3 linked regions of the Pelodiscus sinensis genome follow. The protein of the gene in region 3 interacts with the protein of the main gene of each other region in a pairwise test. Links are inferred from orthologs where the notes say so. Each region holds a gene or a part of one and is shown on either strand. Other genes may lie near its edges.

Region 1 (7,488 bases), on a different chromosome or scaffold from region 3:
CGTCCACACAGTAAAAGCACATTGAAAAAGCGATCTGCTTTTTCGAAAGATAGCATCCAGTCAATATGGACGCTATCTCGCATTTGTTATTACTATGGATGGAGTGGCCACCAGGGCACCTGTGCTTTTTCCTGGAGGCCTCTTCTTTCAGAAAAAAAAACCCCTCAAACTAGTTGTATACTCTATAATTAATTTCTCCAGTCCAGTAACAAGTGAGAACTTCTAAAGCACTATAACAGCGTTAACAAAGTCATGTGGCATCCCTTTGGGTACATATTGGGTCTATGTGGCCACCCAGGCAGTCTTACCTTGGTGATAGTAATCCTTTACAGAAAAAAAAATCTCATCAGTATTTGAGTTTTGCCCCAAAAGCTAATGATTCTATATATTTTGGTTAATCTCTAAGGCTACGTCTACACTGCAATGCTATTTCGGGATACCCGAGTATTCTGAAATAGCAATCCCATGTCTTCACAGCAAGCCCGTTATTTTGGGCTTGCTATTCTGACATCCCTGTAAACCTCATTCTACGAGGAGTAAGGGACATTTCGGAATAGCGCTTTATTTCGAAATTTGGCACAAAATAAGCTATTTCAAAATAGCATCAAAATAAGATGTGCAATTTGCATAGCTATAAGTGCTTATCATATTTTGAGTTATGGTATAGTGTAGACACACTTGAACGTGCCACAGGACTACTAGTTATTTTAAAGTTACAGACCAACATGACTACCCTTCTGAGATCAACATTTGGGTTATTCCCAGCCCCAAAGAACTATTATAACAAAATAGGTAAAAGTTTATTAACAAAACATCATTTACAAGATTTGAACATATACACAACTGAGATACAGTCTCCATTAGTTTCCAAGACAGGCCAACCAGTCCCAGGAGCCCTGGGGAACCAGGTCAAGGAGGGACCATGCCTGAGCCCTGCTGCGCTACCAACTTTTTGCTGGTGGTGAGCAGATACCCAAGTCCCTTTTCTGCCAAGTGTCCGAGGCAGAACATCAGAAATGGCTGCCCGTCGCAGGGAGCCATAGCCTGTAATACCTCTGAGGCTGGTATAGGGGGCTCTGTCTGTGAGGTGGAGTGTTTTCCATATAAGGGCATGTAAATTAATAATCTTCCCCTGCTCGCTCCACCCATTGCAGTAACAGATCAGCTAATGGGCTGACTGGTGCTCAGGCCTGCTACTCCACCCACTGCAGCAAAAACCAACCTATGGGGTGATAAGTTCACAGGCAATAAAACAGGCAGGCAGCCCCTCTCTCACTGGGGATTCGCATTGAGTGAACGCCTGGCCTGATCACCCAGACGCCTTGCACCCCCCGCTCTTGAGTCTTACTGAGCGTACTCCGAGTTGGTCGACCCGAGTGGAGACAGTTTATGAGCGTGTGACCGATACTTGTGTTCCTGCTGTCTCCAGAACTGGTATAACACCCCCCCCCCCCCCAATCATCCCTATCCTAATTGATTTTTTAGTTGTCCTTATTGCTTGCCAAGTGACAGTGGCTAAAAAGTTACTAAGTTAGTTTATAAATAGTTGTGGTTTAGGTTTTTTACTGTTTCCTTGTATAAAGTTGTGTAAATAATCAGCCCTATGGATAATACCAGTGTTAATTCAACTGTTCCTAACCCCTGGGCAGTTATTGGGAATTATTGTGATTTAGAAAAGCCTCAGGGAATTGTTTTGTGTTGTCTGGCAATCTGTTTAATTTTTGTTCTGATGATTGTCTGGCGCCATCAGAATAAAATCAGTTTGTGCTTTTTGAAACCCCCAGTTGTGGTCTCATCCTTTCCGGCATCCCTTCGAACCTAGTGTATTACGGGGACTGACACCAAGCATTCTGCGTGAACACCAGCTGGGCTACGTCTACATTGGCGGCATCTTGCAAGAACAGCCATTCTTGAGCAAAAACTTGCCTGCTGTCTACACAACACATGCGTTCTTGCGCAAGTAAGTTTACAGTATAGCGTTGTAAAACAGGGCTTCTTCCGGAAGAGTTATTCCTCTCCCCAGGAGGAATAAGAACATAAGAACGGCCGTACTGGGTCAGACCAAAGGTCTATCCAGCCCAGTAGCCTGTCTGCTGACAGTGGCCAGCATCAGGTGCCCCAGAGAAGGTGGACCGAAGACAATGATCAGCGATCTGTCTCCTGCCATCCTTCTCCAGCCTCTGACAAACAGAGGCAAGGGACACCATTTCTATCCCCTGGCTAATAGCCTTTTATGGACCTAACCTCCATGAAATTATCTAGCTTCTCTTTAAACTCTGTTATAGTCCTAGCCTTCACAGCCTCCTCTGGCAAGGAGTTCCACAGGTTGACTACACGCTGTGTGAAGAAGAACTTTCTTTTATTAGTTTTAAACCTGCTACCCATTAATTTCATTTGGTGTCCTCTAGTTCTTCTATTATGGGAACTAATAAGTAACTTTTCTTTATTCACTCTCTCCACACCATTCAGGATTTTATATACCTCTATCATATTCCCCCTAAGTCTCCTCTTTTCTAAACTGAAAAGTCCCAGTCGCTTTAACCTCTCTTCATATAGGACCCGTTCCAAACCCCTAATCATTTTAGTTGCCCTTTTCTGAACCCTTTCCAAGGCCAAAATATCTTTTTTGAGGTGAGGAGACCATGTCTGTACACGGTATTAAAGATGTGGGCGTACCATAGTTTTATACAGGGGCAGTAAGATATTCTGTGTCTTATTTTCTATCCCTTTCTTAATAATTCCTAGCATCCTATTTGCCTTTTTGACCGCCGCTGCACACTGTGTGAAAGTTTTCAGAGAACTATCCACGATAACTCCAAGATCTCTTTCCTGATTTGTCATAGCCAAATTAGCCCCCATCATGCTGTACGTATAGTTGGGGTTATTTTTCCCGATGTGCATTACTTTACACTTATCCACGTTAAATTTCATTTGCCATTTTGTTGCCCAATCATTCAGTTTGGTGAGATCTTTTTGGAGTCCCTCACAGTCTGCTGCTGTCTTGACTATTCTAAACAGTTTGGTTTCATCCGCAAACTTTACTACCTCACTGCTTACCCCTTTCTCCAGATCATTTATGAATAAGTTGAAAAGGATTGGTCCCAGGACTGACCCTTGGGGGACACCACTAGTTACCCCTCTCCAATCTGAAAATTTACCATTTATTCCTACCCTTTGTTTCCTGTCTTTTAACCAGTACTCAGTCCAAGAAAGGACCTTCCCTCTTATCCCATGGCAATGTAATTTACACAAGAGCCTTTGGTGAGGGACCTTGTCAAAGGCTTTCTGAAAATCTAAGTATACTGTATCTACTGGATTCCCCTTGTGCAAGAGCTTTTTCACAAGAGGGCTGTGTAGACAGGCAACATGAATTTCTTGCGCAAGAAGCCTCTATGGTTAAAATGGCCATCAGAGCTTTCTTGCGCAAGACAGAATCCACATTGCAATGGATGCTCTTGTACAAAAGCACATCTCTTGCGCAAAAGCACATTCCAGTGTAGCTGTGCTTTTGTGGAAGAGTTTTTGTGCAAGAACTCTTCCGTAAAACAGTTTGGCTGCATCTAGACTGGCATGATTTTGCGTAAATACTTTTAACTGAAAACTTTTTCCGTTAAAAGTATTTGTGCAAGAGAGCGTTTATACTGGCATGTGCCTTTGCACAAAAGATTTGCTTTTGCGCAAAAGCATCCGTGCCAGTGTAGACGCTCTCTTGAGTAAGAAGGCTCCGATGGCCATTTTAGCCAACGGGCTTTCTTGTGCAAGAAATTAACGTTGCTGTCTACACTGGTCCTCTTGCGCAAGAGGGCTTATCCCTGAGCAGGAGTATCAGAGTATTTGCGCAAGAACCACTGCTTTTGTACATTACAAAGTTAGTGTTCTTGCTTAAATACTCGCTGCCGGTGTAGACAAGCGGCAAGATTTTGCGCAAAAGTGGCCGCTTTTGCGCAAAATCATGCCAGTCTAGACGCAGCCTTCTTGCGCAAGAAGCTGCCAGTGTAGATGGAGCCCAGATGCTTGCCAACCCCAGTTGTCAAGTGCAGCCTTTGGCATGAATTGGCACCATGTCTACCAGCATGTCACTGCCTGCCTGCCTCCTCTCTTTTCCATACTTTCATCCCAGTAGAGGCATCACAAGAAAGGCTGATATGAACAGGTGCAATGGCGCCTCCTTGTATTACACCCACTTGCTCCTTTGCACGTGTTCACATCCGGCCTTGCTGGTGGTGTCTGGGGGGGGGGGGGGGCAGGGACAAGGGTTTGCGAAGGGGGCCGCGCAGGGCTGGCGGTGGCTGCAGTGACGGGCTCCGCCCGGCAGGGGTCTGAGCCGGCCGAGGAGCAGGAGGCACAGCTCGGCCAGGCTGCGGGCGGCACATGAAGAGTCCTGTGGTAGGTGGCCGGGACCCCGCCCCGCCCCGCTCCAGCGCCGCAGCCGGCCCCGCCCGCCACAGGCGAACGTGGCAGGAGGTGGCGTCTCGCGCCCAGGCGCGGCCATTTTGGATGCGGGGAGCGAGCGGCGGCGCGGGAAAGCAGCGCCACGGAAGCGTCGCCCCAAGGTCCCGCCAAAGAGGAACCCGCAGCCAGGTTGGGAAGGGAATGGAGGTGTCAGATGCAGCCGCCAGACGTGGCGGCACGCGCGACAGCGGCCTGGCCCCAGGCGCATGCGCAGAGCCGCCAGCGGGGCAGAGACGTGGCAGCCCACACTGGTGGCGGGCGGTATCGCGCATGTGCGGGGCCGCCAAGCCTCTTGGGAGCTGTAGGCGCTCTGCTGGGTCTGCGCCCCCTTCCTTGCCAGGGTGGGCCAGGTCCCGCTCGCGCTCATTCCCCCCCCCCCCCCCTGAGGTTGTGTCCGCGCGGGGCCTGAGGGCGGAGCTTCTGCGACCACGTCAGAGGCGGCTGCGGGGTGACTCACGGAGCGCGGCGGCCCGTTGCTGCCGTTGGGGAGGTTTGTTTTACGGCCGGTAGGGGCGGGGCGGGGCGGGGCGCAGGGGGCTCAGACAATCGATGCTGCTGCTTAGTGTGAGCAGGGCCCCCAGAGACCGTCCCGCTTCCGGGAGCTGCAGCGGCTCCGGCCCGGGGCTGCCGAGGTGGGTTCGCTCTTGGGTTCCAGTGTTGTCGAGAGTTTTCTTCTCTCTTCCGCAGCGCGGGGGCAGGAGTCTCTGGGAACCAAACGGATGCGAGCTGGGCCTCTGCGGGCCGGTCACTGCAGACCCCGCCGCTCTACACAGGGCAGCCTTGTTTGTCCTGCTGGCGTGTAACCCAGTGACCTACTTCCCAGCGCTGGGCGGCTTCTGTGGGTTTAAATAGGGAGGGGTTAATACATCCCCCGAAGGCTGCTCTCCTGGTTCAGTAACCATTTTGTGCTGTGGGGTCTCTGCTCTAGGTCGCTCACTCCTTGGGGTAGGGACCAGCTCTTCTGTCTGACATTTGCTGCCTGCTTGCTGGTATCTGAGGTTTTGTTGGTGCAGTGCTAGTGATTAAATGTGACACTCTTGCAGTCCAGCAAATAGCTGTTTAGAAAACAGTTGTGCCTTGAGGTAGTCTGATCATGGACATCCTTGCTAGGAGCCTGAGAAGAGAGCTGGTCTAGAAAAACTGAAAAGTTGTCATTTTGACTTAACTCCCTAGGGTTTGGGGCAAGTCAGTTACCGTTCATTCCTACTATTGACTCTGTGTGCATGATTTCCTGTGCCCACGTGGCACTTGATTTACATCAGCAAGGCTCTGTCACCTGAGGGGCCTGGCTATCTTCATTAAAAATAACTGGGATCAATCCCCTTATGTCAAGTGGAACTAACATTATTTATTTAGCTGCTTCAGGCGCTTTGTCGAGATAAATTAGTCAGAATGATAATAGCTGATCGTTAGTTGAAGAAGTCAACAGCAAATGGTCATCACAGCATGTTCTGATCTTTTCTGCCTTGCCCAAGGTTGAGCTGAGTGCCACAGGGGCCCAAAAGAGTGTTTCAGAGCTTAAGTCCTTACCCCAGTGCTTGTGAGCTGTTTCCGTTTTCTGGCCTTTAACGAGGTTGTCAAAATATAATGGATTTTAATGAACCACTTTATTAGAAGATGAAACAATATGCATAGGGTGGTATGAGTCTGAGGTCCTTTATCTTTCCCTAGCAGCACCAATTCTTTCATCTCCCCATACACTCCTTCCCCAAAACTAACTTGGATGTCCATCTAACATAGGGGCTACGTCTACACTGGCCCCTTTTCCGGAAGGGGCATGTTAATTTCAGCTATCGCAATAGGGAAATCCGCGGGGGATTTAAATATCCCCCGCGGCATTTAAATAAAAATGTCCGCCGCTTTTTTTCCGGCTTTTAGAAAAGCCGGAAAAGAGCGTCTACACTGGCCCCGATCCTCCGGAAAAAGCGCCCTTTTCCGGAGGATCTTATTCCTACTTCAAAGTACTTGAAGTACTTGAATAAGTACTTGAATAAGATCCTCCGGAAAAGGGCGCTTTTTCCGGAGGATCGGGGCCAGTGTAGACGCTCTTTTCCGGCTTTTCTAAAAGCCGGGAAAAAAAGCGGCGGACATTTTTATTTAAATGCCGCGGGGGATATTTAAATCCCCCGCGGATTTCCCTATTGCGATAGCTGAAATTAACATGCCCCTTCCAGAAAAGGGGCCAGTGTAGACGTAGCCAAGGAAATACTGATTTAATATCTGTAACAGATTTAGGCTATGTCTATACTACAACTTACAAATAAAGCCACCTTTAAGTGACAAAAATTATACTGACCTAAGCGCTGATTGGACAGCACTATATTGGCTGGAAACTTCTGTGGTCAACATGGCACAGCTGCATTGAGGCACCACTGTAAGTTCCCTAGTGTAGCCATAGTCTTAGAAGATGAAAAGGACTACAGTTGATATGAGTATTATTTATATTTGCACCTATACATCCCTTAATTAGGATGCATGTATTCAGGATAGCTTCTCATTTGGGGATGCTTCCTAGGAGTTCATTGGTCTAAAAATAAATGGTGTTTGGTGACAACAGCTGCTTAATCAGGAGAGTATTAATTAGGCATGTGACTGTGCAGCCAAGTACACAGTTAACCAATGAGCTTGGGCCCTCCGTGGACAAAGGCTTTCAGTGGCAGCCGTCCCTGCCCCCCCCGCGCTGCCTCTGCTATAGGCAGCAGCTCAGAGGGACGGCAGGAGGCTCCCACCAAGCACCAGCTCCTGTCAGCCCCCTTCACTGCTTCTGTTTGAGATAGGGTGGTTAAATTGCATTTAATCAGCTGATTGAGTAATCAATGGTATTTCCATTGACTACTTGATTAGTTGATAAAGGGGGGAAACTGCAGTGCTACAGCCTGGTTAGCTTCCAGCCCTGGGGAGAATCCTGCTGCGGTTCTGCCTTTTAAATGTATTAAGAGCCACCAGGGCCACCTCCTCCCCCCCCCCCCGCAGAGTTGCTACTGGGGGAAACCAGCTTTTCGTCTGGCTCTCCCCAGCATTGGCTCCTGCTCTCCT
Region 2 (7,571 bases), on a different chromosome or scaffold from region 3:
CATCTTAACGTGTACTGTGCAACTTGGCACTGATCCCAGGGCGGACCTACAGTCCTGGGCCCAGGGCAGACGCGGTAGCAGCGCGGCTGGAATTCACAGAGATGCTTTAAATTCCGCCTACTCCAGCAGTTCCTAAAAATAACAAGATGCTTCCTTCCAAATTCCTAATCCGTGCCTATGACCACAGACTGAAGAGCCGATGTTTAAAGAGACATTTGCACCAGTTCTGTTTCCGATAACACCTAAACCAGCTTTGGAGACGTGAGTTGTGCTGTTGTGGGAAGGTTCCGTTCCTCATTTCCGGAGGATGATTACGGTACCTATAAAACAGTGGCGAGTTAAAACATCTCTCCACAATAGTTGGTATTGTTAGCGTTCTCCGTTGGACTTTCACACTGAGATGTTGATTACCTTCCATTTTTATTTCCCCCCCTATTCTGTGCTCCGGGGCTAATCTATATACACATCTGGTCGAATAAACAGTATATGCTTTGAGAGAACAGCTGAACATTATGGGTGTCTACTGAAAAGAATCCGTATCCGGATGAATTTGCACTATGTGTGCGGAGGAGAAACGGTGAATACAAATGAGGGGTTGTTGAGGGGTTTTTTTTTTATGTGAAAATGTTTAGCAGAGACTAGACCGGAAACGTGCCATGAAAATCAGATTCGGGGAATACACAAAAATCTAACTCCATACTTCTTTTAAAAAGTTGCGCTCGTGAGGGCTCTTCTTTGAAGACGCATTGGATCCATCAGGAAAAAATGAGAGGTTGATAAATATTTAAATTTTATTATGTCGGTTTCACATTGGTTATTATCTCTTTTTTTTTTTAAGGGAGAGGAAATGATTTGCACAGGAATCTTAATCGGAGATTCTTGTTCCAGCCAAAGTCAGAATCTCTAATGTCTCAGCATAGTAAATGAAAACATTTCGTAGCTGCTTCCGCCGTAGTAAACCGCAAAGTAAATGAAAGTACACGTTTGTTATGGTTAAGGCTTGTCTCAGCAGCAGCTACACAATTTGCATGGCCATCGTGGTTTTAGTTATATTCAATATGCAAAAAACAAAACAAAAACAAAATCAAAACACCCCGCCACAACAAAGCTTTAAGCGGGAGTGCTCCGAGTCACACAGGTTTAATGGCAGCTATTTAGAACACTTATTTTGGAAAAGTGAATATTTAAAAGTTCCCAATTGCACTTCTGTAATTGTAACAAAGTGAGCAGACCTGCGCCTTCCGTATGCTTTAAATTATTTTTTTAAATGTCAGCACGCAGTTGAAAAAACCTGATTAGAACTTTAACAAGACGCGGATTGTTTTTCTTTGTTTTTCTTTCTTTCTTTCTTTCTTTCTTTCTTTCTTTCTTTCTTTCTTTCTTTCTTTCTTTCACAGACTCCATAATTCAACCAACGCTGGAGTACAGGTGCAGGGAGCAGTTACCCACTTCGACTTAAAAGCCCCCTTCTGAATCCGCTTACATATGTTCATAGCGCCAACAGAAAACAACCTTTAACAGATAGCCTATAATCCAAACAATTTTTGCCCTCCAAACCACTGTTTAGATTGAACTGGTAGGAGTAGTGTCATTGGGCAGCCTCGATCTTACCCCCCTTCAAACTAGTTCACACGGTGACATTTTGCTTTCGACGCACAACACAAGTTTAAAAACAAAACAAACCAAAACCACACGAAGCCCCGCCCTGTAGAATTAGCCCGTCCGGGGTGGAGAGTGACTGGGGTCCCTAGGTAGGCCGAATTTTGTTAGGATTTCTCCAAGAGGATTGCAGACAATTCGCCTCTTGCTTGCTGCTGCCTTTGGATCGCCTTGTTTCCGCCACACAGTGGCAGCACTGAGAGCCTGTCGCTCCGCCATAAATAACCCGACACTCACTGCAGTTGCAGCCACGCAGCTACTGCAATGCAATGCAAATGTAATTCTTTATCAGCCCGGAGAACACAAACAACGCCGCCGTTAGCATTTAAAGCGCTCGCAGCTCATTTTTAATTACTGTAATGAATATCGAGATATCACAGAAGCAGAACCCTGAACCAATGCCGCGGTTTCCAGCACACAAACATAGGAAGCAACGCCAGATCGGTGAAAGCCACGTTCTGATGCCCATGCCGTGCTAAAACCCCTTGTGCCCAGCTCGGTTTCCTTCCCCCCACCCGCCCCGTGTTCCATTTTTCAAAACTATAACTAAATCGACCCTTGTACCTCTTATTTGCTTCCACTGACATCGAAAAAGCTCCATTTCAGCATCTGGTGTAGGACGGATGGCTTAAAATCCAGCTTTAGATAGAATTACTCCAGAAGCGACGTATTTAGAAAAATGTCTGTAATATTGTTCAAGCTCCGCGCAACACAATGACGTGACACAATTATACTGTATACAAGTGATTTATCCGCTAAAGCAACCTATGCACACATTTCTCCTATTCTACTGTTCCAGAAATATCCCCCCTCTCTCGCTCTCTTTCTCCCTCTCTCTCTCTCCTAGACATTTTATGGAACGAGAAGATATTATGCCGGTTGGTCTCTGTCTGAAATTGTAAGTGCATTTCCAAACATCTTAAATTGCCGTTAACACGAATGAATTTGCAAATACTGGGAAACAAAATGAAAATAGTTTTCTTGAGCAAATTATCTCCACCTAATTTGATAAATCCGAGTGATAAAAGAAATAATAAATAAATAATAATAAAAATAAAAATAATCCGAAGGTGAATGTGATAGCAATCTTTTAAATCTCCTTTATTAAAATTACACGTCAGGCTTGCTAAATAATAAACACTTGTATTGTTGCATGCATTGTCTAAATTTAAACAAGCTAAATAATAGGTTGGTAATTCTTCAACTGGTATCATTCCATGTATAATATATACATACATATATTACATATGCGGGTATCATAAATGCATATATGGATATTAAAATAATGTTACCCTGCTTAAGATACTGTTATATACATTTCTCACCTTTAGGTTCTGGCTCGCAGAGCCCCTGCTACTTTGACAGCTGTCGCTTTGGCTGCACAGGAGACGAATCGCCCTCCTTTTGGTGCCAGAAGAAGCAGGAAATTAGCCAGGTTGCAAGTTGAAAATCTGCCACTCCAGTGCTTTGAATCCAATATGCCACACCTTCCAGCGGAGGAATTGGAAATTGCCATCCAGGGTCTGTGTTCTAGGCGGCTGCTTATGCTGAACCTCCATACACTTGGTTCACTATTGCCTTACAAAGAACAAATGAAATGGGGGATTGAAAGCCAGAGAGATCCGAAGCAGGACAGAGCTGAGCTAAAGAATGCAGCTCTATTCTCGCAAGGGAAATTATAAAAAAGTTCATGTTCACGGTTACCATCCACATGACCGACAGCGACCAATGGAAAAACCGAGCAACTCATAAAGTTGTATTGCAAAGTTGTAAATTTTCATAAACAACAACGGATTTATGGCCTTTTCCTCATCACTAAGAAGAGGCAGGTCTTAGAGAGGCGCCATCTTACCAGAGAGGCAGCCCTAGAGTTTTAAAAGACCTAGAGTTTGATCTAATTCTATTAAAATTGCAATTAGAACATTTGCCACACCGCAGAGGTAGGGAACTAGTCTGCAGAGAAGGGAATCATTATCTCTATCTTTTTCCTTCCTTCCAACGAGACTTTCATGCATAATCTTTTAAAATTTGATATTAAAATGCGGTACCTGCTTTTCGTTTTCTAATAATAGGCAGGGAGATTTTTTTTTTGACATATAGACGGGTGGGTTTAATTATATGTTTTGATTTTATATTTTTTTCTATTGTCCCCTACTATGACTGACACGCAAACACACACCTGACTACAGCTTCAACACTTGGAACTTTCGCATTGCAGCTCGCGTCTACAATCAAGTATTATTTCGCTAATGCGGATTTCCGCCGGCGTATAGGCAGGTTTCATGTCTACTGTGCTTTTAAAATTTCACCGAAGCACATAGGAGCCTCTCGCTTCAGGAGTGCTCTCTGCTTAATTAATCAACCCAGGTGAAAACGCTAGTTAGCGAAACTGACTGAGTCCTGTCAATCCATCGCCTATGAATTTTTGGTTTTGAGTGCAAATGAAAATTACATATTTGATCTTATTTCTTTACTTGGCCATGTCAGTTTTATGCTTCCTTTGAACTGCTCCTTAATAAAGAAACACAATTCATTGTCAACAAGCATATTTATTTTCTGCGTAACATAAAACACATTTATTGTGGGAGATATTTGAACACGGTATCACTTCCAAAGAGAGTGAACATACATTTTTGTCCTCCACTGCCAATACTTACACGGTATATTCAAATGTTCACAATGAACACATCGAAACACATTGTAACGTACAATTTATGAATAAACTTTAGCCAAACCTCCATGAAGGATTTATACAGAAATCTTAACAAGACATCATGCTACCAAGATACCAATTTAATTACAGACTTCTCAGTTTATGACGTGATCTTACAAATGATTTCAAGACAATATCAATGACAAAAAAATCGTTTAAATATACAGTATTTGCTATTGTAGGAAAAATCACGGTATTACATATTAACACATTCCGAAATCAGGACAAAAAGATTTTTGAGAGGCGCTAACATAGTCGTCTTAATTCAGTTTTTAAAGAAACAGTTTCCGCTATTTTAAGTAGGATGAGCTTAGAAAACAAACCGGCCTGTAACAGTGTACTTCAAAAGGTAGAAGCCAATAGAAGCTATTAAAGCGCTTTGTACAATATTAGCATGTGTTTTCTTCTCCACTCGGAATAGTAAAGGACTGAGAAGAAAGATATACTGCAGCATATGGTTTTCATTTATAATTGCTTTGGAATAAATATATTATTTTTCAATTTAAATATATTTAGCATTTTCGGTACCAAATTATATACCAAAGCTATTGATGCGTACTTTTTAAAGGACTACACTTACGTTACTAAAAGCATTCTACAATTCACATTAGTATGTTATTTTCTTTTGATTAATAAAATACAGTATAGCGTAGAAGATAGGTAGGCGGAACAAGAAATAGGTAGTCTGGAAGATAGGTAGTACAAATAATTGCAGGATGTAGTGGTTTCTGTTTCATTATTTTTTGCAGGGTATTTTTTTTTCCACTTGCTGTTTAATGCTGTCTGTTTGTTTTGACCTATTTAAATAAAAGCAAACAGGAAGTGCAGAACTATTTATTCTAAGTTAGGTAGTTTTTTTACGTGATCCTAATGCACTTTCCCCTGCACAACTGATTGGGACTAATTGAGTCAGGTAGTTACGCTGGAAGTGATTTTTTTTCCTGCATGTGCAAGGAGTAGTTCTCTCTAGCAAATGTTCTCAAACAAAACAGCCTAGGTTTGGGCAAACGAAAATAAGATGACCAGGATGACTTTATGCGAGATTATAATTCGGTTAGGCAGGAAATAGGGGAGCTCTGGGAAGGTGGGGACTGGAAGACAAGTCAAGGGAGGGGACCTTTTCATGTTCTAAAATGCTCGGTTACAAGATGTTCATTAAGGGGAACCGAATACTGAAAATAAAACAGTGAGTCTTTTTTCAAGAGAGCTTTTACAACTGTCACGTGCATACATAATACTAGAGATTGCTTCATCAAATGGGGGCTTTTACTCGTCTTCTTCCTCCTCTTCCTCCACTTTCTCCACAGACGCTGCTGCTGACGTGTTCTCGTTGGTCGCTGGGGTGCTGGCGCTCTCTTCTTTATGCTCTTTCTTCCATTTCATCCTCCGGTTTTGGAACCAGATTTTGATCTGCCTCTCAGTGAGGCACAGAGCATGGGCGATCTCTATTCTCCGCCGGCGAGTCAGATAGCGGTTGAAGTGGAATTCCTTCTCCAGCTCCAGTGTCTGGTAGCGAGTGTACGTCTGGCGACCCCGCTTCCTATCTGGACCTGAAAGCAGGCAAACAGGCGCAGAAGTTAGCCAGAAACATGACGCTAATCAGTTAAATGGAAAGTTGGTATTTACAAACAGTCATCAAGCAACTGGAGTAAATCCTCTTCCTTTATTCCCTCCCCCCTCCCAACAAAGGCATTTCTCTCGGACAGCCTGCCCGGCTCAAACATGGCAAATTAACTTATCTGGAATAAACCTTTTCTCTCCACTTCGGTGTAAGATCAAAAAAATGTTGCCTTCTAAAGGATGAACGTTACACTCGGCTACGTTTCAACAGCGTCCTCCATGGAGACTTTCGTGGTTCACAAAGGGAAATAAAGCAGGGTCTGGAATATTTGCATGTATTTATTTATTCCAGGCGTTTTTCCCCCCCTCAGACGAGATCCACATACTAGCAATAGATGCAAGGGCAGAGCCTCACATTTGCTAGATCTTTTTTTCCCCCCTTGTACTTGTATACAAAACCTGATCCCCAGGCAAGACACATGCCACATTTCACAAGGAGCTAGAACACCCCTGCCCCCTCTGAAATTGTCTTTTCTCCCCTCCTCAGAGCCCTTCTTTCCTCTGCCTTTCCCAGTAAATATGATTGTTTGTGCCGTTTGTTGGGGTGGGGGCGGGGAACACTGACCCGTGGGGGCTCACCGAGTACAGAGCCAGCTCTCGATATTTCTCTAGCAAACCGAACAAATAAACTTAATACTAAAATTCCACAGCAAATTGACTTAAATAAATTTACGAGGCTAGAACCCATTAATTGAGCAATAAAAAGTTTTATGATACTCATTTACATACAATGCCACGGGCTTTCTACGCAATGGCGCCTCTGCTATAATTAAAACCATAAAGGCTGTGCTGACAGTAATTTCGGCTACACATTTGCCTGGCTGCCATCGCTTTGCCCTCTCCGTTCCCCATACCTGAAGACCTCATCCAGGGGTATATCCGGAAATTAGCCTCAGCCTGGCTGTGCAGGTTGCTTTCCTCCGCTTTCTCACAGCTGGGTTTGGTTAGATCATTGCAGAGGACGGGAATGTTCTGATCAAAAGAGGAACAATGCAGGTTGTAGGCATCTGAGCCCAGGCTGTATCCGGAAGAGAACGGGTTTTGATATATGGTACTGTTCACATTGTACAAGCCAGGCATGGAGGAGGTGAAAGCACTAGCCCCTGGTCCATAGCCGCTTCTCTGAGAGTTGGTTGCAAAGGAGCAAGAAGTAGGCTCTGCATTTTGGAAAAGAGAAGCCCCCGTCGTATATTTGCTAAAAAGAGCGTTCACATAATACGAAGAACTCATAATTTTGACCTGTGATTTGTTGTCCGGTAGGCTTCCGTGTCGGTTTTACGAGGTAGCGTGATATATGATAACATTACACCCCCAGATTTACACCAAACCCCATTTTCTTTTGGACTGAGCTGCCTCCAGCACGTGACCAGTCATATGACCCCATCCTCCAATCTCCTCCTGCATCACAGGTGGTATAGATCAGGGTGTCTCACAATGTCCTATAATGGAAGGGGAAGAGGATCAAATATATGTCTAACAAATTAAAGACAAGAGGGCTTTTGGTTAAGGGAGCCACATGGTAGATGATATTTTATAAGATCCCTATAAAGTAGAGTAAGTAAATAAACAGAGATTTATT
Region 3 (7,693 bases):
GATGAAGGAGGGTCACTCATGAGCCTAGGTTGCCCCTCGCTGCTGTAGCAGCACCACATACACACTGAACCAGACATGACAAGATGAAACCCTGGGAACCCCACACGAGATCATATTCGGGACACAAACTACCCAAAATCCTTGAGACCTCTCAGAAAAGAAAACACAGAAGTGCTCAAGGCAAGACCATATCAGTCTCTGTTAGAATCCATGTTCACGTGATTTGTCAATGGCATTGAGGATAGTTAGAGAGCAAAAAGAATTTGACTTAATCACTATCCACCAACAGGAGACAATCAACCAAGACCACTAATGCAGTTTCTATGTTACACCCAATGCAAAACAGACCTGATGGAGGTCAAAGAGACTGAAGAACGCACGTACTGCTACTGTTTCATGACTATCCTCTATTTCAGTGGTTTTCAACCTGTCAACACAGACTCCTAGGGTTTTGCAGATTATGAGTTTCCAAAGGGGTCCATATCCACTTGACATTTTTTAGGGTTCTGCAAATGAAAACCACTGCTATAGACACTCTTCCTCAGAGCGTTAACCATGTAAGACACAATGAGGAATCCTGTGGCATCTTAGAGACTAACATATTGATTAGGGCATAACCCACTTCATCAGACATAGGAGAAAGATATGTAAGAAATAGTCAGCATCAGGTGTCTTTTTGAGTTGAGGGCGGAGCAGCAGATGCTTTTTTATGCAAAACTAGCACTGTGTCCCACAGAAAGGAAACATTTACAATTAGCTCTCAACACGGTCCATAACCCACCCCAATGGTTGTGTCCAGTTGGCAAAGAAATAGATCTGATCTACAGTGATTTGTCTGTGCTACTCCCACATCTTCACAACTCTAAGAAGCTTCCAGGACTAAATTCCAGAGACAGAGAGAGACAAAGACACATTTGCATGCCCCCCTTTCTCCTGAGAACTAATTCGGCTTTTGCTGAGGCAGAAAGTTTGGTCCAGAGCCATAGACGCTGGTGCTGCTGACTTGAAGCAGTTTCCATTATATTCAGGATTTACAGTTTGGTTCAAAGGACCCTATAGAAATTGTGCCAGCACCCCTGTCCAGAGCTGTTTGAACTTGTCCGCAACATAGGCTGCAAACACTAACTGATATTGTTATCTGGTGCGGCACCTACAGCATGCATGGACATCCTCAAACCCACTAAACAGCACTCATTGCTCAAACCCCCATCCCTCAGGTTCAGAGCTCCCTCCCACATCCTCCCTCGATACTCTCCTTCCTCAGGGTTTCTGTGCAGAGCAGAGCCTGTGAGTCAAACGGGAAGCATCGCAAAACAGGACCTGACAGAATTGGCTACTCCTGACGTAACAGTTAGCTTATCCTGGTTTAGTGAAGGAACGCCTTGCCACTTTAGTTTTAAATGTGGCCTGTATCCGAGATGTTCTCAGAACATTTCTGTGATGTTTGTTAGGCTGTAGGTGTTACCTTGAGAGCGAGATGATCAGGGCAAACAGTTTTTAAAAAAGGAGAAATTGTAGCTGTTTCCTCTGTGAAAGCGAGTCAAGATTTACCAAAAAAACTACACAAAAAATATAACACCGCTCCACACTTTGACCAGTGATATGGGAACCCTCACACCAATGCCAAACTCCTCCACCCCCTCCAATAGCAACATGGTGGCCTCACACACCAACCCCACCCAGAATGGAGGAATCAGTGATGGGGGGGGTCCTCGTCCCTCTTTCACTGCCCAGAACAGTGGCCTGGGGAATCCTCACCCCATTCTCTGAGCGCTCAGGTTGCCACATCCTTCGAGATACAAAACCCCCACAATATTCAGGATGATCTTTCCTCACCACGCTGGGCAGCTGGCAGCGCCCACCAAACACCCAGAGAGACTCCCAGGACAGTGACCCCCAAAACCAGACAACACTGGGGAACCTGGACAGGTAGCGGCCCCGCTCGGCTACAGACCCTGGAGAAGAGCACCCCGACATCAACAGCAGGGTCCTTTCCCCTCCTCGTGTGGCCTGGGGAAAGTGACCCCCACCTTCAATGGGGAGGAGCCCCTCTTCTCACCAGGAGATCCCCTCACCCCATCCCCCCGACGGACTCCCCCTTCTGGCCAGGGGGACCCCCCTCAGCTCATCCCCCACTGGCAGACCCCCCCTTCTGGCCAGAGACACCCCCCCCCTCAGCTCATCCCCCACTGGCAGACCCCCCCTTCTGGCCAGAGAGACCCCCCCCCCTCAGCTCATCCCCCACTTCTTCTGGCCAGGGGGACCCCCCCACCTCATCCCCCACTGGCAGACCCCCCCCTTCTGGCCAGGGGGACCCCCCCCTCAGCTCATCCCCCACTGGCAGACCCCCCTTCTTCTGGCCAGGGGGACCCCCCCATCCCCCACTGGCAGACACCCCCCCCCTTCTGGCCAGGGGGACCCCCCCTCATCCCCCACTGGCAGACCCCCTCTTCTGGCCAGGGGGACCCCCCCCTCATCCCCCACTGGCAGACCCCCCCCTTCTGGCCAGGGGGACCCCCCCTCATCCCCCACTGGCAAACCCCCTCTTCTGGCCAGGGGGACCCCCCCTCATCCCCCACTGGCAGACCCCCCCTTCTGGCCAGAGAGACCCCCCCACCTCATCCCCCACTGGCAGACACCCCCCTCTTCTGGCCAGGGGGACCCCCCCCTCAGCTCATCCCCCACTGGCAGACCCCCCCTTCTGGCCAGAGAGACCCCCCCCTCATCCCCCACTGGCAGACCCCCCCTTCTGGCCAGAGACCCCCCCTTCTGGCCAGAGACCCCCCCCCCTCATCCCCCACTGGCAGACCCCCCCCTTCTGGCCCGGGGGACCCCGCCCGCCAGACCCACCTGCTGGCGGCGCCACAAGCCCCCTCCGGCTCCGCTTCGCAGCGCCCGACGATCCGTGTCCCGGCAGCGCCCGCGCCGGAAAGGCCAGCTCAGCGGCGGGGCTGCCCGCAAGCGAGATGGCGGCGCGGGCGCCTCGGCCGCGACCGTGCCCTTCCCCAACATGGCGGCGCCTGCGCGCGGCACCCAGGCGCCCAAGGGCGGTCGCCATGATGGCTAAGGGCACCCGCGCCTCCATACGGGCTTCCGCCCTCAGCCACGATGGCGGGCGGGCTCCACGCCCCGCCCCTTGCGGGGTTTGCGCTGACTCGCCCTTCCACGGGCGCTGGCAGCTGATGCAGACAGGCCCCGCCCTCCAGCCAGCCCTGCTAGGAGGCTGCAGGGGCGTGGGGGTGGAGCTGCCCTGTGCTCCCTGAGGGGGGGGGAACACCTGGCAACAGTGCACACCTCCCCGCCCCCAGCACACACACACCAGCCTCCCCCCAGAGTGCAGTCACACAACAGGCACCTCAGTCCTGGGACGCGCCTCCTTTGCCGGGCGCTGTTAAAACAAGCGGCACCTTCAAAGGCCCTTGTCTGGCATCAAAGCGTGCGTCCCCCAGGCCTTGTAACAAAGCATCCTCACAGGGCATCCACATTGGCACCGCACAAACCGCTCCTAGGTCCTCACACTGATCAGGGGGCCCACGCGGCCCCGGGGTGCCCCCAAAAAGAGTCAGCACAAACCCACGAACGCAGAGAAATGGGAAACCTGAGGGGTGGAATAAATATTCGGCCACCACGTCAATAGATGCTTGGAGCATGACAGAGGTGGCTATGAAACGATGGAGAAGTGAGATTCAACAAAACACACGCAGTGATGGTAGGTGTTTGCGGGAAGACCAAGGGCCAAGCTCACATCTAGTGTCAGTAGAAGATGAATCCAGTTTTGAAGACTCAAGACTTGATGGACGAGGGGAATTTTTCACTGTCTTAGAGATAAATAGTTAATCGGCTGCGCAGCCATTAAATAACACCCCTATTGTTTGTGTATGAAAGGCTAAGGCTGGTAAAACCAGATGCCATCTCTTGATAAGGTGTTCTCCATTAGCTAAGAACTGATAAAACTCACAGCTGGATGAGGTGTGCATAAGGGGGCAGGCAGGGGCACAGATCTCTTCCCCCTAATAAGCAGCAGGGGATGCAAAGTTCCTCTAGTCTCAGGGCCCTCATGATAATATTATCTACTCAAAGTAACAGTTAATAGTAATTTGCATTGTGTTCCTGTCTGTGGAGCCCCAATCACTGACCAGGACCTAGTGCTAGACACTGTACAAACACCCAACAAAAAGATGCCAATAGCAAAATGAACAGGAAGAAAAGCTCTGTAGATCTTGAAAGTTTGTCTCTCTGCCCAACAGAGGTTGTTGCAATGAAAGATGTTACCTCAGCACCTTATTTCTTTAATATCCCGGGACTAACATGGCTACAACACTGCCAACAGAATTAACAAGTAGTGGGTAAGACGCTATCTAGCTTGTATTGTGATTTTCAGGTCTCGGATGTGTTGCTTTTGTCTCTTATTCACTTGTTTTTTGGGGGCTTCTAGACTCAGAGAGGAACAAATGACAGCAAGGACCATGCTGTGAATCATTTCCTATCATCATCTTAAGAAGTGGGTTTCGCCCACCAAAGCTCAGGATACTACATTCTTGTTAGTCTCTAGGACAGTGGTCCCCAACCTTTTGGGGCTGCCGGGCGCCCGGGGGCGGGGCCATGCACAGGCAGTGCACCCTGGGGCGGGGCCGCACATGCACTGCGAGCCCGGGGCCGGCACCGACATGTGCCGTGGCCCCGGGACAGGGGCCACCCATGCGCCACGCGCCCGGGGCCGGCACAGCACATGTGCCATGTGCCCGGGGCGGGGCCAGCCCAAATTGTTTAGCGGGAGCACATAAATGGCCCAGCAGGCGCCATGGTGCCCACGGGCACCACATTGGGGACCACTGATCTAGGGTGCCACAGCACTACTTGTTGTTTTTAACGTTACCGACTAACACAGCTACCCACTGAGACATTTTCTACCAAGAAAACTACAACTCCCAAGATGCCTCCTTTCTGCCTCCACTCCCAGCCAACCCAACACCGCTTGGCTTGAAACTGTGTTTCCGCTCCTCCTGCTGCAGAGCCATGTCCCAGGTGCAGCTTCCTCCCATGAAAGCTGTTATAGTGCCTGGGAATGGGGCAAGCAATGTAGAGAAATGCAACTGGTACGGATGGGCATGGAAAAGACTAGGGCAGGTAAGACATGGCAGTGGCAAAAGGTTTGATCTGACCTGTTTATTTACGCTCCTGCCTACCTCACCAGCTATTTGGAACACCCTAAGTCAGGCAGGCACCTGGCTTCTTTTTCTAATGAAGTTGTCTGCCCCCAACCTCTGCTTCCCTCTTGTGTGGTTTAGCATATACCTTCCCTTTCTTTAAATCCACAGCTGGCAAGCAGGAGGGGGCTGCGGAAGGGTCCTGCCAGAACATCTGCAGTGAAGCAGAGAGGGGGAGCCTCTTTAGGGAGACTCTTGTTTTTCTTGTGCTAAGAAAGCTTGTTCAGCATTAGATGTAAGCAACTTTTTCCGTGATTCTTGTCTTTGTCATGCGACATTCTCCCCTCCTCCTCCTGGCTTGTTCACAGCTCTCTAGCACTGATTTGAAGGGTGCATGAAGAAGGCTGCAGTGGATAGTGCTTTCTGTAGAGACTCTCACTTGGTTTTCTATACTCCCACTTGGGTATTTCTGTTATGAAGTTCAGCCACTGGACATCACATGGAGGAGAAAACACAGAAATAGGGGATGACTGATTTGCAAACACTAGAGTGCAGTGATTGGTGACCCCTGGGAGTGGGTGGGAGAGATTGCTGGTAATTCAAACAAGAAATATTTGTAAAATCAGCAGTCTTTTTCAACTCCTGGTGCAATATAGTTGCAGTGCTTTACATTTTCAAAGCACCAAGTAAACCCTCAATCTTCTCCATGTGCCTGGGACTCACTCCCTCCCCCCTGCCCAGTGCACCCCAAATATTTAACCTTTCAACCTAACACTGTAGCAAGACCCATCTACATAACCCTGAAGACCCATTGGAGGAAAGCAAGTGTAACCACTGCAACAGTTTGCTTGCCAAGGGACTGCACAACCTTTGATAATGCAATCATTGGTCTTCTCCACACAGATACCTGGTTTCCAGTGTTTACTTCGAAATATGCCTGACCCAGGTAAGTCTGTTTTACCTTCTCCCTGTATTTTGCATTATCCCACTGGCAATATTTCCAGAAAACGAATATGAGCCTGCTTTATCTCAGTGGCTGTCTTCATTCCGGGGGAGTTCCCGCACCCCAATCCAAATGGGATATGTTTGCACTGCAACATTATTTCAAAATAACTGTCTGCTGCGTAGACACGGACTAAAATAACTTAATTAGTCCGCATCTACACAGCAGGTAGTTATTTCGAAATAATTTCAAAATACTGTAAAGCTGGAAGACTTCTTACTCCAACTCCTGTAACCCTCATTGTATAAGGAGTTAGGGAAGTCAAAAGGAAGAGTGCTCTATTTTGAAATAAGCGCTGTGTAAATCCTCTCTATTTTGAAATAAGCTATTTTGAAATAAGCTACGCAGTTGACGTGGCTTAATTTGCGTAGGTTATTCTGAGTTAAGGCCTGCTGTGTAGATGTGCCCTGGGAGACGCACAGCCTGCTGAAATGCTTTGCTGGGGAGAGGGTTTGGATGCTCCTGAATGTTTTATGTGCACATACTGTGATGCAGAACATTGCTCGTGTGCAGACAGTACATGCTTGACTGCGTCCTGCAAGCCCCAGAGATTGTACCAGGCCCTGGATGAGCTGGGTAGCTTAGCAGGGAAGTATTTATGAAGGCCACACTCCAGGTTGCTACTGCTGCCAGTAGTTCTAGACAAATAGTGTCTGTCTCGGCTCAGTTTGCAGCAGACTGGTGTCCACCACACCATCCCCATTAGAACTGGTTTTCGAGAGGCCAAAGACTGAGCCTTGGAAGGTTAAACCTCACACTGACCCTTAAACCTGACATCTCCAGGTCCATGTGGAGTTACTTTAGGTGGGGTAGCAAGGTTGGAACTGGCACAGCTGCAGTGTATGTTTAACTCATAGTGGGGCTAAACAGAGGCCTTTGGTCTTCATAGCTGCTAACCTTACCCCTTCTGCAAGCACTAAACTCACTAAGAATTAAATAAAGAGAAAATCCCCCAGAGAGCTGTATGCAGAGCATGCTAGCTGGGCGTGGGGAGGAGGGGGGTGGATAAGGAAAGGCAAAGCAATTGAATCTCTTCTCTGCAAATCAGTTACAGCTCGAGAGAACATCTGGCTGCCATTCATGGAATCAGAACTGCACTGCGATGGGCAGACTATCCTTATTGGACACAGCTCTGGGGCTGCTGCTGCCATGAGGTACAGTACAGGGGGTAAGGCACTGAGTTTCCAGTTTTGCAGTCTAATGGGATCATGACCATTTCAGCTAATGATCCCAGAGCTGCTCCACTTGAACTCAATGGCAAAATTGCCCCCTGCCGTCAGTGTGAGTAGAATCCTTCTGACAAGATTAGCACCATATGTAAGGGATTGAGAATGTGGTGGGGTACTGGAGGGCTTATCTGCTGTTGAAGAACTAGACATTTAACAGTGGGAACGGAAAGCCACAGTAAAATACCCTCAGCTAAATCTAATGTAATAGTTGGGGTGCTATGGCATTACGTGATGCACCTGAAAATCCTTGGGTGACTTGCCTGTAGCTGTAACCTCTCCAAATCCTTTACATGAATATTGCCCCATCTTTGCTT

Evidence for each region.
Region 1: the proteins of SEC23B (region 3) and PRRC1 interact in binary tests that used the Homo sapiens proteins (3 or more experiments, as listed by UniProt). The two-hybrid records come from large-scale screens. The link is inferred for Pelodiscus sinensis from reciprocal best matches to the Homo sapiens genes SEC23B and PRRC1.
Region 2: the proteins of SEC23B (region 3) and HOXA3 interact in binary tests that used the Homo sapiens proteins (3 or more experiments, as listed by UniProt). The two-hybrid records come from large-scale screens. The link is inferred for Pelodiscus sinensis from reciprocal best matches to the Homo sapiens genes SEC23B and HOXA3.

The regions. Positions count from the first base shown.
Region 1 is NC_134716.1:51,694,084-51,701,571, reverse strand, and holds the start of PRRC1 (protein PRRC1), read left to right. Parts: upstream 1-4,366; 5' UTR 4,367-4,386; intron 4,387-4,423; exon of another isoform or gene 4,424-4,581; intron 4,582-4,699; exon of another isoform or gene 4,700-5,084; intron 5,085-7,488. UniProt on the Homo sapiens protein: May act as a regulator of the protein kinase A (PKA) activity during embryonic development.
Region 2 is NC_134712.1:196,583,182-196,590,752, reverse strand, and holds the start of HOXA3 (homeobox protein Hox-A3), read right to left. Parts: upstream 3,123-7,571; 5' UTR 2,985-3,122; intron 268-2,984; exon of another isoform or gene 1-267. Other genes in the region: HOXA7 (homeobox protein Hox-A7), read right to left, coding at 5,639-5,922, 6,847-7,222. UniProt on the Homo sapiens protein: Sequence-specific transcription factor which is part of a developmental regulatory system that provides cells with specific positional identities on the anterior-posterior axis.
Region 3 is NC_134713.1:193,975,726-193,983,418, reverse strand, and holds the start of SEC23B (protein transport protein Sec23B), read right to left. Parts: upstream 3,008-7,693; 5' UTR 2,851-3,007; intron 1-2,850. Other genes in the region: serine hydrolase RBBP9, read left to right, coding at 5,017-5,127, 6,051-6,093, 7,199-7,304. UniProt on the Homo sapiens protein: Component of the coat protein complex II (COPII) which promotes the formation of transport vesicles from the endoplasmic reticulum (ER).